2 linked regions of the Arabidopsis thaliana genome follow. The protein of the gene in region 1 purifies or fractionates together with the protein of each later gene. This does not show direct contact. Each region holds a gene or a part of one and is shown in the gene's direction. Other genes may lie near its edges.

Region 1 (6,798 bases):
TGATGATGAAGGGAGGAGAGAGCTGACTTGGATAGTATGAGAATCAGTCTCTCTTTCTTGAGCTCCATCGTTACAACCCAAATTGAGACATATACAAAGGATTATTATGATATTCAACAGATTCCTATTTATGCTCATTTTGCTCTCTTAATTCTCTCCCTCACAAAAATGACACTCAATAACATGACAATGGTTGGTCCTTTATAACCAATCTTTTTTGCTCAAGAAAGTCTCTAGTGGAGGTTGTTAAGCTTTAGAAGCAATCCAGTCATCCACATATCACACAAGTAGGGGCACCCTATTCCATTGGTTTCACTAACCAGTTAGATAGTGACACATCATCTGGCAATGGAGCATTATTGTTATTTTCTGTTGTCTATGCACACTTCAATTTCAGCACAATGAACGGGATAATATTCCACCAAATGATTCATTGATCAGTAGTAAACTGATTAGGTAGGTGTCGAATCATGCATGGATGTGTGTGATGCTCATTCGTTAATTTGCGAAACAAAATTATATTTTCAATTATTCAAATGTGCAATGAACCCATTTATAAACGTATAATTATAGTTTATTCGTTAACAAAAACATTAATGTACTCTCCATAATGATATTTTCGCCTAATAATGGAAGAGTCAATTCATAAGCCTCATATTAGAACGCCAATAATTGAATACCAGCAAGCAATAATGTTGCTTAAAATTAAGAGAATCCAAAGTGATCATAGTATTGAAGTAACACAAAAAGAATGAAAGCAACATCTTTAGGAAATTAATCTACATGATCATGTCTCTTGATTCATGCTTACTTACGCGTATACATTTTAAGTCACATATCATATGTTTGCATCAATTTGGAAATAGTGTTGCTTCACGAAATCACTCTCCTTCGAAAATTAAATGTACGTAGTTTAGTTAGCATTTGGTAGCTAGATTTAATAATTGTTTACATGAACGTGTTGAACATCAACATGTGATCTCACATCTTAGCATCCTACAGTGAAAGCTTTAAGAAAATTATACTTAAAAGAAAGTTCTGAAGTTGAACGAAAGTTATAGGTAAAAATAACAAATAATACACTAGATATAAGTAAATGGAGTGATTGTAAAGTAATTTGGACCAAATACATGTAAGTGTGAATGAGATAACATATAAAATCCACAAGAAAATCAATTAATTGGATGTGTGTGGGCCTCAATATATAGTTTCCGGAAAACAAAATTTGACAAAAAGTAATGAGTACAAGTGGGAACAAAAGATAAAGATTCTAATAAAGAATCTTAATGTAGTGGAAGTGGGAGAAAGCTGGAATCTGTACCCTAATTTCTAGAAACTTAGAAAATTCAACAACAGTCGTCCAAATTCACAATTTACATTGACTTAATCACTACTATCTCTCTTAAAAAACATATACTATTTATTACTGTTTGGTTACTTTACTAACTAAACACTCATATTTGATTATTTGACTCATCAATAATGCAGGTTGTTGGTTCTAAATATGAAACTCTGTATATATAATTAAAAGGGGAGTGATATTCATTATGAATTTGGTTTTATTATATCGAATCCGTAGACGGTGGATGAAATATAATTTATTTCTGATAAACAAATTGAATTGAGTGATGACCTAACTCTCCATTTTTATCAGACATTATATTCCTGATAAATACAAATATATTTACTATACCAGTTTTTGACACATGGACAGTTAGTTTAGGGCATTCAAATATGATTTCAATTTATAAAATCCCAAAATAAGTTCTATAAAACCTTCATATATATTTTATATAAAAAGGTTAACTCAACATAAAATGCAAAGTTGGATATATATGACGTCTGCTAATAAAAAACCACCGAGCCAATTGAAAAGGCAATAATATTTTCAAATTCTGTAAACAACATAAAGCTTGTTCGATGCATCCTTTTTTTTTTTTTGCTAAAGTCGATGCATCGCTTTTCTTACAGGCGTTATTAATTATTGTCAAGATAATGCTTATACAAGGCAAATGTGTTAACGTCGATAAATCAGCATAAAGACAAAGATACTGAAGTGTTTGAAAAAGATGAGGAGGCAATAACACTCGTTTAGTCTAAATTATTCAGATACTTTATAATGGTCCCGGCCTCCCGGGTGTTTTACGTTTGTATGAAAACAAAATTCTTGTTTTCTTTAATTTTGTTTCGGAAACCCTCGTTATTCGTCTGTGGCGACTATCAACGTCTATCTCTATGCATAGTGTCGAGATATATACGATCGAGAATGTTGTGGTAGGATAGAAAAGAAAGAAAATGACAATCTAACAAAGAATAATGGTGGTTTTGTAACTGAATATCAATCAATTATATGGAATATGTAATAAAAAAACTAAAATTAAAATTTATGGAATATGTAGTTATAGAAATTATAAAGCTGGTGAATTGTAGCAGTGTGGGAATTCGTTAGTTGTCACATCCCACAATGGATTTTGTTTTATCATCCGATAAGTTTCCACTAATAAAAAGATTGAAATGAAATATTATATCAACTCATAATTTATAGTGGGTAGATGGAATGGCTTAAACGAAGGGAGTATCTTATGTAAATCAATTCCATTTTAGGTTTGTATATTAACAATATTAAGAACAATAATAGTGGATGGTCTTTCGTCTTGCGTGTGTTATCGTTCACGAGCTTTATAACTTATATATGGTACCAATTCCAATAACAATAAAAAAGTGATATATCAATAATGGTAGCTGCAGAACCAAATTTAGAGATGCAAAGTATCAACACATCTAGATTTGCCACTACAATTTAACAATGACACATCGCATGCTTCAAGAAGATATACCAAAATACATCGTGTGTAAACCTCCGAATTCGAACATCATTATTACATGAACATCTAAATTCGTTTCATATTAGTAGTAGACTCTTTAATCGAACCTGTACCGGTTTGGAAGCAATAGAAGTAATATAGACTATATGGGTTCGTAAAGGCCCATTAAACAATTTGCCAAGTTGCTGAAAAGCCTAATAGAATAAAGGAAACTGAGATCCAGTTAAAATATCTGGATTTGGACCCGACCTGAAGAAACGGGTTTGGAGTGAAGATTTTTTTTAGCTTTCCTTGTCAATTATTCGAATTGGGAAAACATCTAAAGCTGAGGAGAAGATAAATCCGATCTAGGTCTCTTCTTCCCCAATCTCTCTGTGTCTCTCTCGATCGAAGAAAGAAGACAATGGACAAAGGCAAAGCAGTGATGGGTACTGGTCGGAGATGGGCCGTCGAATTCTCCGATCAATCTACTGTTCCATCTTCCCGTGACATCCTCGATCCACCTGGCTTCTCTCGTGCCTCTCAGGAACAGGTTAATTTCTTTCTTTTTAGGCCGTTCCGGTATTGGATTCTTATATTTCCTGTTGTTCTCGATTGGATTCGAGGTTTCAATTTGGAATTTTGACTGAGAATTGAGTTGTTTTGCTACTGGGATTTGATGTGTTATCGTTTGATGAGTTCAGGATGATTCAGCAAACAGCCGCCAAAAGAAAGACGCTGAAGCTACTTGGAAACTTCAGGTATACACTTATGTCAAATCTGAAAGTCGTATCTTACTCTATGTAGATCTTAAAAGCCATTGACTTCCATGTATTGGATTGTCACAGAGCTTACGTTAGACTGTATTTCGCTGTCCAAATCTGATTGGGTTTGAAGTGAGGATGAAGTTTATAAAACTGATATGTTTTTTTTGGGGAATGAGCAGAAAGCGTGGGAAGTAGCGCAATCTCCATTTAAGAATTTGATGATGATGGGTTTCATGATGTGGATGGCTGGAAACACAGTTCATCTTTTTAGTATTGGTATTACTTTCTCTGCTCTTTGGCAGCCTATCAGTGCTCTTCAGAGTGTTGGAAAGAGTAAGTTTCCTTCACTACATCTTATTCGTCTTTGCCTAACATGCAATTTGGTATCCTATTAATTAGCTTGTCAGCCCACAATTATATGTAGTTTATCGAACTGTGATGACTTCTTGATTGGAAAATATAAAAGTTAAATGAAATGGTGTTTGAACTTGCAAGTAGTATCCATCATTCCTTATATTTTACCTTTACACCTTGTCTGCAGTTTTTGAGCCATTCAAGGATAACAAAGTGGAACTACTTATGCCGAAATTAGTGTTCCTTGCCCTAAACCTTGGAGGGCTAGCTTTGGGTGTCTGGAAGGTAAGAAACTTTTTTTTCGTTTCCTCATTGTATCCTCTTTCCTTTTTCCGTATGGCAACACTGGCTTAGATTACAAGTGTAAAGAACTGTTTCCTTATACAAACGATTTTCACTTTCTCAGCTTAACACTTTGGGGCTTCTTCCAACACATGCATCAGATTGGGTTTCATCTCTACCCCCTCCTCAGGTTGGTAATTTCTGTCTGAAGCTAAATCTTAGGCCTATGTGTTTTAAATACATCCGTGAAAGCAAGAATCTGGCATTTTGACGAATCATCTCTAAGCTGCACATCTTGTTTCCTCCTCTTACTTTTTCAGGAAGTTGAACACTCGGGCGGAGGATTTGTTTTCCACTGATGAATCAGCGTCTCTTGTATTTTAAAATAATCCGCTAAAACCGCGCGACAACGACAACACTTTTGTGAGATAACTGCAACAGTTACTTAAGTGATATGAACCTCCCTCATCTTATGATATTCTTGTAGCATTTTCAAAACTCAGAAACCATAGTTTTTACACTTTTTAGTATGATGCTCATTGTTCATCATAACTATGAATGTATTATTGGCACTGAAGGGACCTTATCTCCCAGCTTTTTGTTTCTCATCTTTTTAGACAGGAATGGATAAAATATTTCAGATAAAAGCTTTACTCTCTTTATTGCTTCCACTCAATGATTCTGAGTTAACAATCAATCAATGCTTGATATCATTTTGCCATGACTGAGACCTTCTAGTTGATTCAGAAGTTACAAGAGAGTGGACTAGTAAGGCGCAATGAGAAACTAGGTCAAGTTTGGGAAGCAGAAGACGACGTGGAACAAAGTGCAGTCTTTTAGAATCATGTAAGTCGGTCTACTCTAAAAAATCTCTGGACGACAAAAATGTTTACTTTAATGATTATAAGATTTGCAAGAAATAAAAGATTTACAGGAAAGAAAAAAACACCCAAAAAAGAAAGTAGAAAAAAAGAGAAATAGATATTTCCCCATTAATCTTGTAAAATTTTCCTTTGCATAATCCTCCGATCTTTTAGTAAAAATTTGATAAAAACGAACAGAGAGATGATGACTCTTAACACGCTAACCTGATCCGAAATTTTCTTTCTTTTTTGTTTTTCATCACAGAAAAAAAGAGGATTGATTCTTTGATCTCAAACAAAAACTCTTACTTTGGTCACTGTGATTTTTGATTCCATTTATTCTTCTTTTTGAAGCGAATCTGAGTTTTGTTTTCATGTCCGCGAGGATTTCATTTCTGAAAAATCCCGATCCGTGCAATCACTTATCTGATTATAAGCTTAGATATGGTACTGATGGTTACAAATCTTTCAATAACTTGTTCAGATGCTTCAACGATGCAAGGATTAAGATCAAACTTCAAGGAATCGACATACCCAGATGCAGTTATTGTTCTGTTTATCAAAAGAGACTCTACATCTGTTTGATCTGTCGTTCCATTTCTTGTTCAAGTCATATCCTTTTGCATACCCAGTTGAATAAAGGCCATGATATCGCCATTGATGTCGAAAGATCTGAGCTTTATTGCTGTGCTTGCATCGATCAAGTGTATGATTCTGAGTTCGACGAGGTTGTTGTGTCTAAGCAGCTTTTTGGTTTGGGTATGTCTGTTAAATCAGGGGCTGATGTTGTTGCGGTTAGATCGAACAAGAAGAGGAGATTGGACTCGCAATTGATCATAGGGTCGAATTTTTTGGTCTCACCTCGAGATCGAAGGGAGAAATGGACGTTTCCTTTGGGGTTGAGAGGTTTGAACAATCTGGGAAGCACTTGTTTTATGAATGCTGTGTTGCAAGCACTTGTTCATGCTCCTCCTTTGAGAAACTTTTGGTTGAGTGGTCAACATAATCGTGATCTTTGTCCTAGAAGAACAATGGGTTTGTTGTGTTTGCCTTGTGATCTTGATGTTATCTTCTCTGCTATGTTTTCTGGTGATCGGACTCCATATAGCCCTGCTCATTTGCTTTACAGGTTTGATCTCTGAGTTCTTCATTTGTGTCTATACAAGCTTTTCTAGAATTTATATGATATCTTCGTAGACATTATGTGATGGTGATTTTGATATTTTTTCGGCTTTTATTTTGGTGCATGAAGTTGGTGGCAGCACTCAACGAATCTAGCTACATATGAGCAGCAAGATTCTCACGAGTTCTTCATTTCGCTATTGGACCGTATCCATGAGAACGAAGGGAAGTCGAAATGTTTGTATCAAGGTAAATCTAATTTGGAAGAAGAGATCATTTCTGTGTTGTTTTTTGTTTGAAGGCCTTAGATTTCTGTTGAGTGATGAAACTTTCAAGATAGAATTTGATTTGATGTTTGTTGGTTTACTATGCAGATAATGAGGAGTGTCAGTGTATCACCCACAAGGCATTCTCTGGTCTTTTAAGATCAGATGTCACCTGTACAACATGTGGATCCACATCAACAACATATGACCCGTTTATCGACATTTCACTTACTTTAGATTCAATGAATGGATTCTCTCCCGCTGATTGCAGAAAGAACAGATACAGTGGTGGACCAAGTGTGAACGCAATCATGCCAACTCTCTCGGGTTGCTTAGATTT
Region 2 (7,582 bases), on another chromosome or scaffold:
TGCAGTAGAGTACATTTTCACGTTCTGGGCATGTTTCATGCTCTACAGAGAATACAATAATGTCGCTATTATGCGTCTGCAGTATTTAGCTTCACAGCGTAGGCGTCCAGAACAGTTCACTGTGAGTGAAAAAGCCGCAAACTTCAAACATGGATAATTGTTGCATCTATGTTTATATATACTACTGTTTGTTTTTGCAGGTTGTTGTTAGAAACGTCCCTGACATGCCTGGTCACTCGGTTCCCGATACCGTTGATCAGTTCTTTAAGACGAATCACCCTGAGCATTACCTCTGTCATCAAGTAATTTTGTTTGTCCTTCATCACTTACTTTAGTTGTAGAATGCGTTAGTGTGTGATTGATGAATTCAACATTCTTGTTTCAGGCTGTTTATAATGCGAACACTTACGCAAAGCTGGTGAAGCAAAGAGCGAAGTTGCAACGTTGGTTTGACTATTATGTGCTGAAGCATCAACGTAATCCGCATAAGCAGCCTACTTGCAGAGTTAGTCTCTCCCACGCCATTTGTTTAGCTTTTTGAAATGAAACGATGTTGATTGTGATGGGCGGATTTTCTTTTTTCAGACAGGTTTTCTTGGTCTATGGGGTAAGAGGGTTGATTCCATTGAGTACTACAAGCAACAAATCAAGGAGTTTGACCACAATGTAAGCCATTCATTTGCTTTTTAAGTTACTGCTGAAACAGAAACTTAAACCTCGTTTCATCTTTGGTGATACAGATGTCTTTGGAGCGTCAAAAAGTTCTCAAGGACTCCAAGCTAATGCTTCCTGTTGCATTTGTGTCGTTTGATTCACGATGGGGTGCTGCTGTTTGTGCACAGACGCAGCAGAGCAAGAATCCGACATTATGGTTAACGAGTAGTGCTCCAGAGCCTCGTGATATCTATTGGCAAAACCTTGCTATACCTTTTATCTCTTTAACCATCCGGAAACTCGTAATTGGTGTCTCAGTCTTTGCCTTGGTCTTTTTCTACATGATTCCTATCGCCTTCGTGCAATCTCTTGCCAATTTAGAAGGTCTTGACAGAGTTGCACCTTTCCTCAGACCTGTTACTAGATTGTAAGTCTCTCCATCTATCTCGGTTTTTTGCTTCTTGGTATGTTAGACCATTGATCCCTCTCCTTGGTATTTATTGCAGGGATTTCATCAAGTCATTCTTACAGGGTTTCCTCCCCGGTCTTGCGCTGAAAATTTTCTTGTGGATTCTCCCTACGGTTCTGCTAATTATGTCGAAGATTGAGGGATACATCGCTTTATCAACCCTTGAGCGTAGAGCAGCAGCAAAGTACTATTACTTCATGTTAGTTAATGTGTTCTTGGGAAGTATCATTGCTGGAACCGCGTTTGAGCAGCTGCACTCTTTCCTTCACCAATCACCATCTCAGTAAACCACCTTTTACTTCTATTAACCGTCTAAAGATTCTAACTTTGAATTAAAACTCATATCTTAAATGCTCTTGTTTATTGTGTTTATGCAGGATTCCTCGAACCATTGGGGTCTCCATACCGATGAAAGCTACATTCTTTATCACATACATAATGGTTGACGGATGGGCTGGGATTGCAGGTGAGATTCTCCGGTTAAAGCCCCTCGTGATTTTCCACTTGAAGAACATGTTTATTGTGAAGACTGAAGAAGATAGAGTGAGAGCAATGGACCCTGGTTTTGTCGATTTCAAGGAGACTATCCCATCTCTCCAGCTCTACTTCCTCTTGGGAATTGTCTACACTGCTGTTACTCCCATTCTTCTTCCTTTCATTCTCATATTCTTTGCCTTTGCTTACTTGGTCTATCGCCATCAGGTTCGGTTTCATACCCAATCACCCGTCGTATCTAATTCTCCGCTAAATTTTGGGTTTTCTTGATGGTGCTTTCTTGGTTTACAATGCAGATAATCAATGTTTACAACCAACAATACGAGAGTTGTGGAGCGTTTTGGCCGCACGTTCATGGCCGGATAATCGCAAGCTTGTTGATATCTCAGCTTCTGCTAATGGGACTTTTGGCTTCTAAAAAGGCAGCTGACTCAACTCCATTGCTTATCATCTTACCCATTCTCACACTTTCTTTCCACAAGTATTGCAAACACCGCTTCGAACCTGCCTTTCGACAATACCCTCTTGAGGTAAATAAAGAATCTTTTGGGCTCTCTTCCTAAAAAAAAAAGGTTTAAAGCCTTCTTACAAAGACCCGTGTTTTTGGTCTTAACAGGAAGCAATGGCGAAAGACAAGTTAGAGAAGGAAACAGAACCGGAGTTGAACATGAAAGCAGATCTTGCAGATGCTTACTTGCACCCAATTTTCCATTCATTCGAGAAAGAAGTAGAATTATCATCATCATCATCATCAGAAAAAGAGACTCACCAAGAAGAGACACCAGAGGTAAGAGTGGACAAACATGAAACACAGTCGTCTAGTCCTGTGACAGAGCTCGGTACTTCTTCCCATCACCATCATGTCTACAATTCCACTTCCCCTTCTTCTCACTACGCTTCAGCTTATGAGCAGTCATCGTCTCAGTATGAATATCACTACAATACTCATCAGTACGAGGAGCATGAGTACCGTTACAATTGATCTCTAGACAGAAGAAAAATATGTAATCTCTTATGAGTGTCATAACTAAAGGTTTCTTTTGGTCTAGGTTTAGGTTATTTGTTAGCTGACTTTGGTTTCGGTTTTAAAGGTTAGGAAATTGGTGTTAGTGTCATTCACTTGTATGAAAATATATTCGAAGATTTAATTTATTGTCATCTTTCAAGCCTATTGTAATTGTAAAATTTGGTTTATTGGATATGATAAAAGTTACGTTAGAAAATACTCTAATAAAAAAGATGTATCAAAAACTATATTAATATTAAATTAAAGTAGACAAAAGACCTTTCTTAACGGAAAAACCTAACCCGGAAAAAGACAAAACTGGATCCTCTTGTCGATAGAACTTTCTCTCTTGTCCATACAAATATCGTAATCCAATTTCAATCACAAACATCATTAACGAAGATGGAGAAGACTATGATGTGCCGTCTCTTAGAATCACATCCACGTCGTCGTCTCCATACCCATGGCTACTCTTTTAGCCACTCCTATCTTCTCTCCTTTAGCTTCTTCTCCAGCAAGGAACCGTCTTTCTTGCTCTAAGATCCGTTTCGGTTCCAAAAATGGGAAAATTCTCAATTCTGATGGTGCCCAGAAGTTGAATCTCTCAAAATTCCGTAAACCCGATGGCCAAAGATTTCTACAAATGGGTTCTTCTAAAGAGATGAACTTTGAGAGAAAACTCTCAGTCCAAGCTATGGATGGTGCAGGAACAGGAAACACATCAACGATCTCTCGTAACGTAAGCTTCACGATGTTGTTTATTTACCATTTTATTGTAACAGCTTTTTAAAGTTTTGAATTTTTCGTTCAGGTAATTGCGATAAGTCACTTGTTGGTATCACTTGGGATCATTCTTGCTGCAGACTATTTCTTGAAGCAGGCGTTTGTAGCAGCGTCTATTAAGTTCCCAAGTGCTTTGTTTGGGATGTTCTGTATTTTCTCTGTTCTTATGATATTTGATTCGGTTGTTCCTGCTGCTGCAAATGGTTTGATGAATTTCTTCGAGCCTGCGTTTCTGTTTATCCAAAGATGGCTTCCTTTGTTCTATGTTCCTTCTCTTGTTGTTCTTCCTCTTTCTGTTAGAGATATTCCGGCTGCTTCAGGTGTCAAAATCTGCTACATTGTAGGTATGAACTTGATCTTCACTTGGTTAATGATCTTGTGTTCTCTGGTAGCTTTTATGGGTTTTTTGTCTAATTGCTCTGTTTTGTTTATTATTTAATGCTGATCTGATGTCAATGTTGATTTGAATGTTTGTTTGTATAGCCGGTGGATGGTTGGCGTCACTTTGTGTAGCAGGGTACACAGCTATTGCAGTGAGAAAAATGGTGAAAACCGAAATGACGGAAGCCGAGCCTATGGCAAAACCATCACCATTTTCAACACTTGAGCTATGGAGTTGGAGTGGAATCTTTGTTGTGTCGTTTGTTGGTGCTCTGTTTTACCCTAATTCATTGGGGACAAGTGCAAGAACTTCTCTCCCTTTCCTTCTTTCTTCAACTGTGCTAGGTTACATTGTAGGTTCTGGGTAATATTCAAAAACCCTTCTTTGTTCTCCATCTTTAAGCCTCTCTATCTCGCGGTTATTCTCAGTGTCTTATCTTTCTTTCTTCCAGGTTGCCATCTTCTATTAAGAAAGTTTTCCATCCGATAATCTGCTGCGCGCTATCTGCAGTACTTGCTGCTCTAGCTTTTGGGTATGCTTCAGGATCTGGACTTGATCCTGTTTTAGGTAAAGTTACCTTCACTATGAAAGAAACTATAGAGAAACCCTTTTTTGACCTAAAACAGAAAGTAAAAGCATTTTGTTAACTGCTCTTTAATGGTGACAGGAAACTACCTTACCAAAGTAGCATCAGATCCTGGTGCTGGTGACATCTTAATGGGTTTTCTTGGCTCTGTCATTCTCTCTTTCGCTTTCTCCATGTTCAAACAAAGAAAGGTAAAACAAACAACAAACTTGTTCTGTTTTGCTTTAGAAAACTGGTAACAATCGCTTTGGTTTGCCTCTGTCTTCTTCAGCTCGTGAAGAGGCACGCAGCTGAGATCTTCACATCTGTGATAGTTTCAACGGTATTCTCGCTCTACTCCACTGCTCTTGTTGGACGTTTAGTCGGTTTAGAACCTTCTTTAACGGTTTCAATCCTACCTCGCTGCATCACGGTTGCATTGGCCCTTAGCATTGTATCACTCTTTGAAGGTATATATGTTTCTTCTTCTTCTCAACACATTAAAGAACATCCCTAACGAATTTGTTGGACATTTTCAGGGACCAATTCGTCTCTTACAGCAGCTGTAGTCGTTGTGACTGGTCTGATTGGAGCTAACTTTGTACAAGTTGTTCTTGACAAACTGCGTTTACGTGATCCAATTGCTCGGGGAATTGCAACTGCTTCAAGGTGACTCCATTACAAAAGATCTTTCACATTTTGAATTAAAATTATGCATTAATGCCATTAGGATCAAAAGACATGACCTTTCTATTTTTTATGGACAGTGCTCATGGACTTGGAACAGCAGCTTTGTCGGCTAAGGAGCCAGAGGCTCTTCCCTTTTGTGCAATAGCTTATGCTCTTACCGGAATCTTCGGATCGTTACTGTGTTCTGTTCCTGCCGTCCGACAGAGTTTGCTAGCGGTCGTCGGCTGAGGATTGATGATGTGGCGAAACACGATTGATGGTCTCAAAGCTGGCGAGTTACTTAAAATATGAGAGCAGTTTGCTTTGGATGTCAAATAAGCTTGTATTAATGAAAAAGATGATGGAAAATGTTTATTTATTTTATTTTATATATGTAAATGTTGTGAGATTTGTACAACATACATAAATTTTATATAGGAGTAGGATGTCCCAGCTTTCCAAAAATTTGTCACAAAGGTATATTGTCTCCATTTGAGGAAGATGAGATTTGTCGATGAAAACTTCGTCCTCTAGTTGAGTTTGTTACGTTGACTAGACAATAATTGCTCATATAGTAATAGCAGGTTGAAGATTCATTTGATGGAGTTAATGTTGAAGGCCAAATGAGGAGAAACAATAGATTCAGCAACATATCCTCGAAGGCCGTTAGTCGTGGACTTGGCGAAGGCGCTAGCAATTGGCTGAGACTGAGACGCTAGTTGTTAATGAAGAAAGTTTCACATTGGAAGTTGGGGTTAGTATCAAGTAGTATATAAAGAGTTAGAGTCACTCTACTTATTGCCAATTGATTTTAGGTTGGAATGTCATGTTAAGCCCAAATCTATCACTGGAAGTACCTCATAGCACCAATGATCAGTTTTGATAGCAGCTTCATACTTGCAATCCCAACCAATAGTGATCTATGAAGTATATTAAGAAATGTTAGAAACAAATATTCTAAAGCTTCCACGGCTCTTTATTTGCTTTGAATGATTATTTTAATAATTTGATTATTAGAACCAAAGTATGTTAAAAATTTAAGATTTTATGAAAATGGATAAATTTAAGATTATTTTGAATAGTCATTTATATATATATATATATATATATATATATAAATTGCTAACCGATCCAGGAAAAACAAAACCGAAACAAAACTGGTTGCGAAAATCTTATAAAATGATAATAGATTTTGATATGCTGGTAAATTTACATTTCACTTTTCTTAAAATGTGAATATAAATATTTTAATTTAGAAATTTATGTATTCTTTATTTTTCTTTTCTGTCAAACAGAAAAATCTGTCTTCAATTTCATCTTGTATGTGATAAAAAAAAATTATAAGAAGTCCCCAGTAACAATCCTTTACAAACAAATTGATGAATTCAACAAAAATAAGGGAGAGGGCAAAAGCGTAAATAACAAAAGTCGATGACGAGGGCCAAAGCCCCAATGGAAGGTGTTAAGCTAAACTCTCTTCTTGTCTGATATTTCTTCTACTCTCAAGTCTCAACCACATAACCAATAAAAAATGCTACTAATCCCAATTTCTTCTTCTTCGTCTTCGTCTATGTAAGTTTCCTCCTTTTTAACATTCAAATTCTCATCTCTTAACCATATTACTAACATCGTCTTTGTTGTAGTAGCCCTCCTCCTAATTCATATCCATCGAATCATCACTCTCTGTTTTTCTCCAATCTCACATTCCCAATTCAACATGGTACTTATCCTTCATCAATCTGTTGACTTTTTTTTTCAATTTCACAATTCAAATTCGAAGATTTGGGTCTTCGTATCAAGAGTTGAGATTACAATTCTGTTCTTCAGGAAGTAGAAAGTTGAAGACTTTGCGACTCAGAGCCAATTTCTGGGAGTCAATCCGATCTGGGTACTGAAAAAGCTTCATACTTTACTTACTCATATGAGAAATTAGGGGCTGATACTATAACACACCATTGTTGCAGGTTTGTGAAGAATAATAATAGTACGCAACTTGTGGAACCACCTTCTATAGTCAATGATGAAGAAGAAGAGACTGAGCCATTGTTACCTGTGGAATTTACTTTAGTTGAGAGAAATCTTGAAGATGGTTTAGTTGAAGAGATCATATTTTCTTCTGGTGGTGAGATTGATGTTTATGATCTTCAAGGTCTTTGTGATAAGGTAGTTTAAAACACTACTCCTGTGCTCTGTTTATGCTTGATGATACTTCAAAAACTCTCATTTATGGTTATCTTATGGGAAAATATAGGTGGGATGGCCAAGGAGACCGTTAGTGAAACTAGCTGCTGCTTTGAAGAATAGTTATATGGTTGCTACTTTGCATTCTGTAATGAAGTCATCATCAGATTCAGATTCATCAGGTGCTTATAACTAAGTATAACACTTTTCTTGACTCACTATAAGCAATGTGTATATATATACAAAGAGGATGTTTTGATGAACATCTTAGCGGATTTTGGAGAAGTTATTTGACACAGAAGGCGGGGATGGGGAGAAGCAGCAGGAGAAGAAGCTTATTGGTATGGCACGTGCGACGTCGGATCATGCCTTTAATGC

Evidence for each region.
Region 2: the proteins of AT5G10780 (region 1) and LrgB fractionate together in Arabidopsis thaliana (co-fractionation; one large-scale study listed by BioGRID). This does not show direct contact.

The regions. Positions count from the first base shown.
Region 1 is NC_003076.8:3,405,194-3,411,991, forward strand, and holds AT5G10780 (ER membrane protein complex subunit-like protein), read left to right. Parts: upstream 1-3,085; 5' UTR 3,086-3,228; coding exon 3,229-3,357; intron 3,358-3,508; coding exon 3,509-3,565; intron 3,566-3,750; coding exon 3,751-3,904; intron 3,905-4,112; coding exon 4,113-4,210; intron 4,211-4,331; coding exon 4,332-4,397; intron 4,398-4,527; coding exon of another isoform or gene 4,528-4,531; coding exon 4,532-4,591; 3' UTR 4,592-4,877; downstream 4,878-6,798. Other genes in the region: AT5G10770 (Eukaryotic aspartyl protease family protein), read right to left, coding at 1-138; UBP22 (ubiquitin-specific protease 22), read left to right, coding at 5,445-6,199, 6,323-6,441, 6,567-6,798.
Region 2 is NC_003070.9:11,535,262-11,542,843, reverse strand, and holds LrgB (uncharacterized protein), read left to right. Parts: upstream 1-2,947; 5' UTR 2,948-3,087; coding exon 3,088-3,363; intron 3,364-3,435; coding exon 3,436-3,751; intron 3,752-3,890; coding exon 3,891-4,152; intron 4,153-4,240; coding exon 4,241-4,356; intron 4,357-4,456; coding exon 4,457-4,566; intron 4,567-4,646; coding exon 4,647-4,824; intron 4,825-4,893; coding exon 4,894-5,023; intron 5,024-5,121; coding exon 5,122-5,272; 3' UTR 5,273-5,602; downstream 5,603-7,582. Other genes in the region: AT1G32090 (early-responsive to dehydration stress protein (ERD4)), read left to right, coding at 1-121, 201-302, 386-505, 586-666, 741-1,081, 1,161-1,406, 1,501-1,825, 1,915-2,148 and 1 more; NSI (nuclear shuttle interacting), read left to right, coding at 6,555-6,595, 6,667-6,743, 6,851-6,911, 6,988-7,186, 7,275-7,386, 7,504-7,582. UniProt on the Arabidopsis thaliana protein: Glycolate/glycerate transporter required for photorespiration.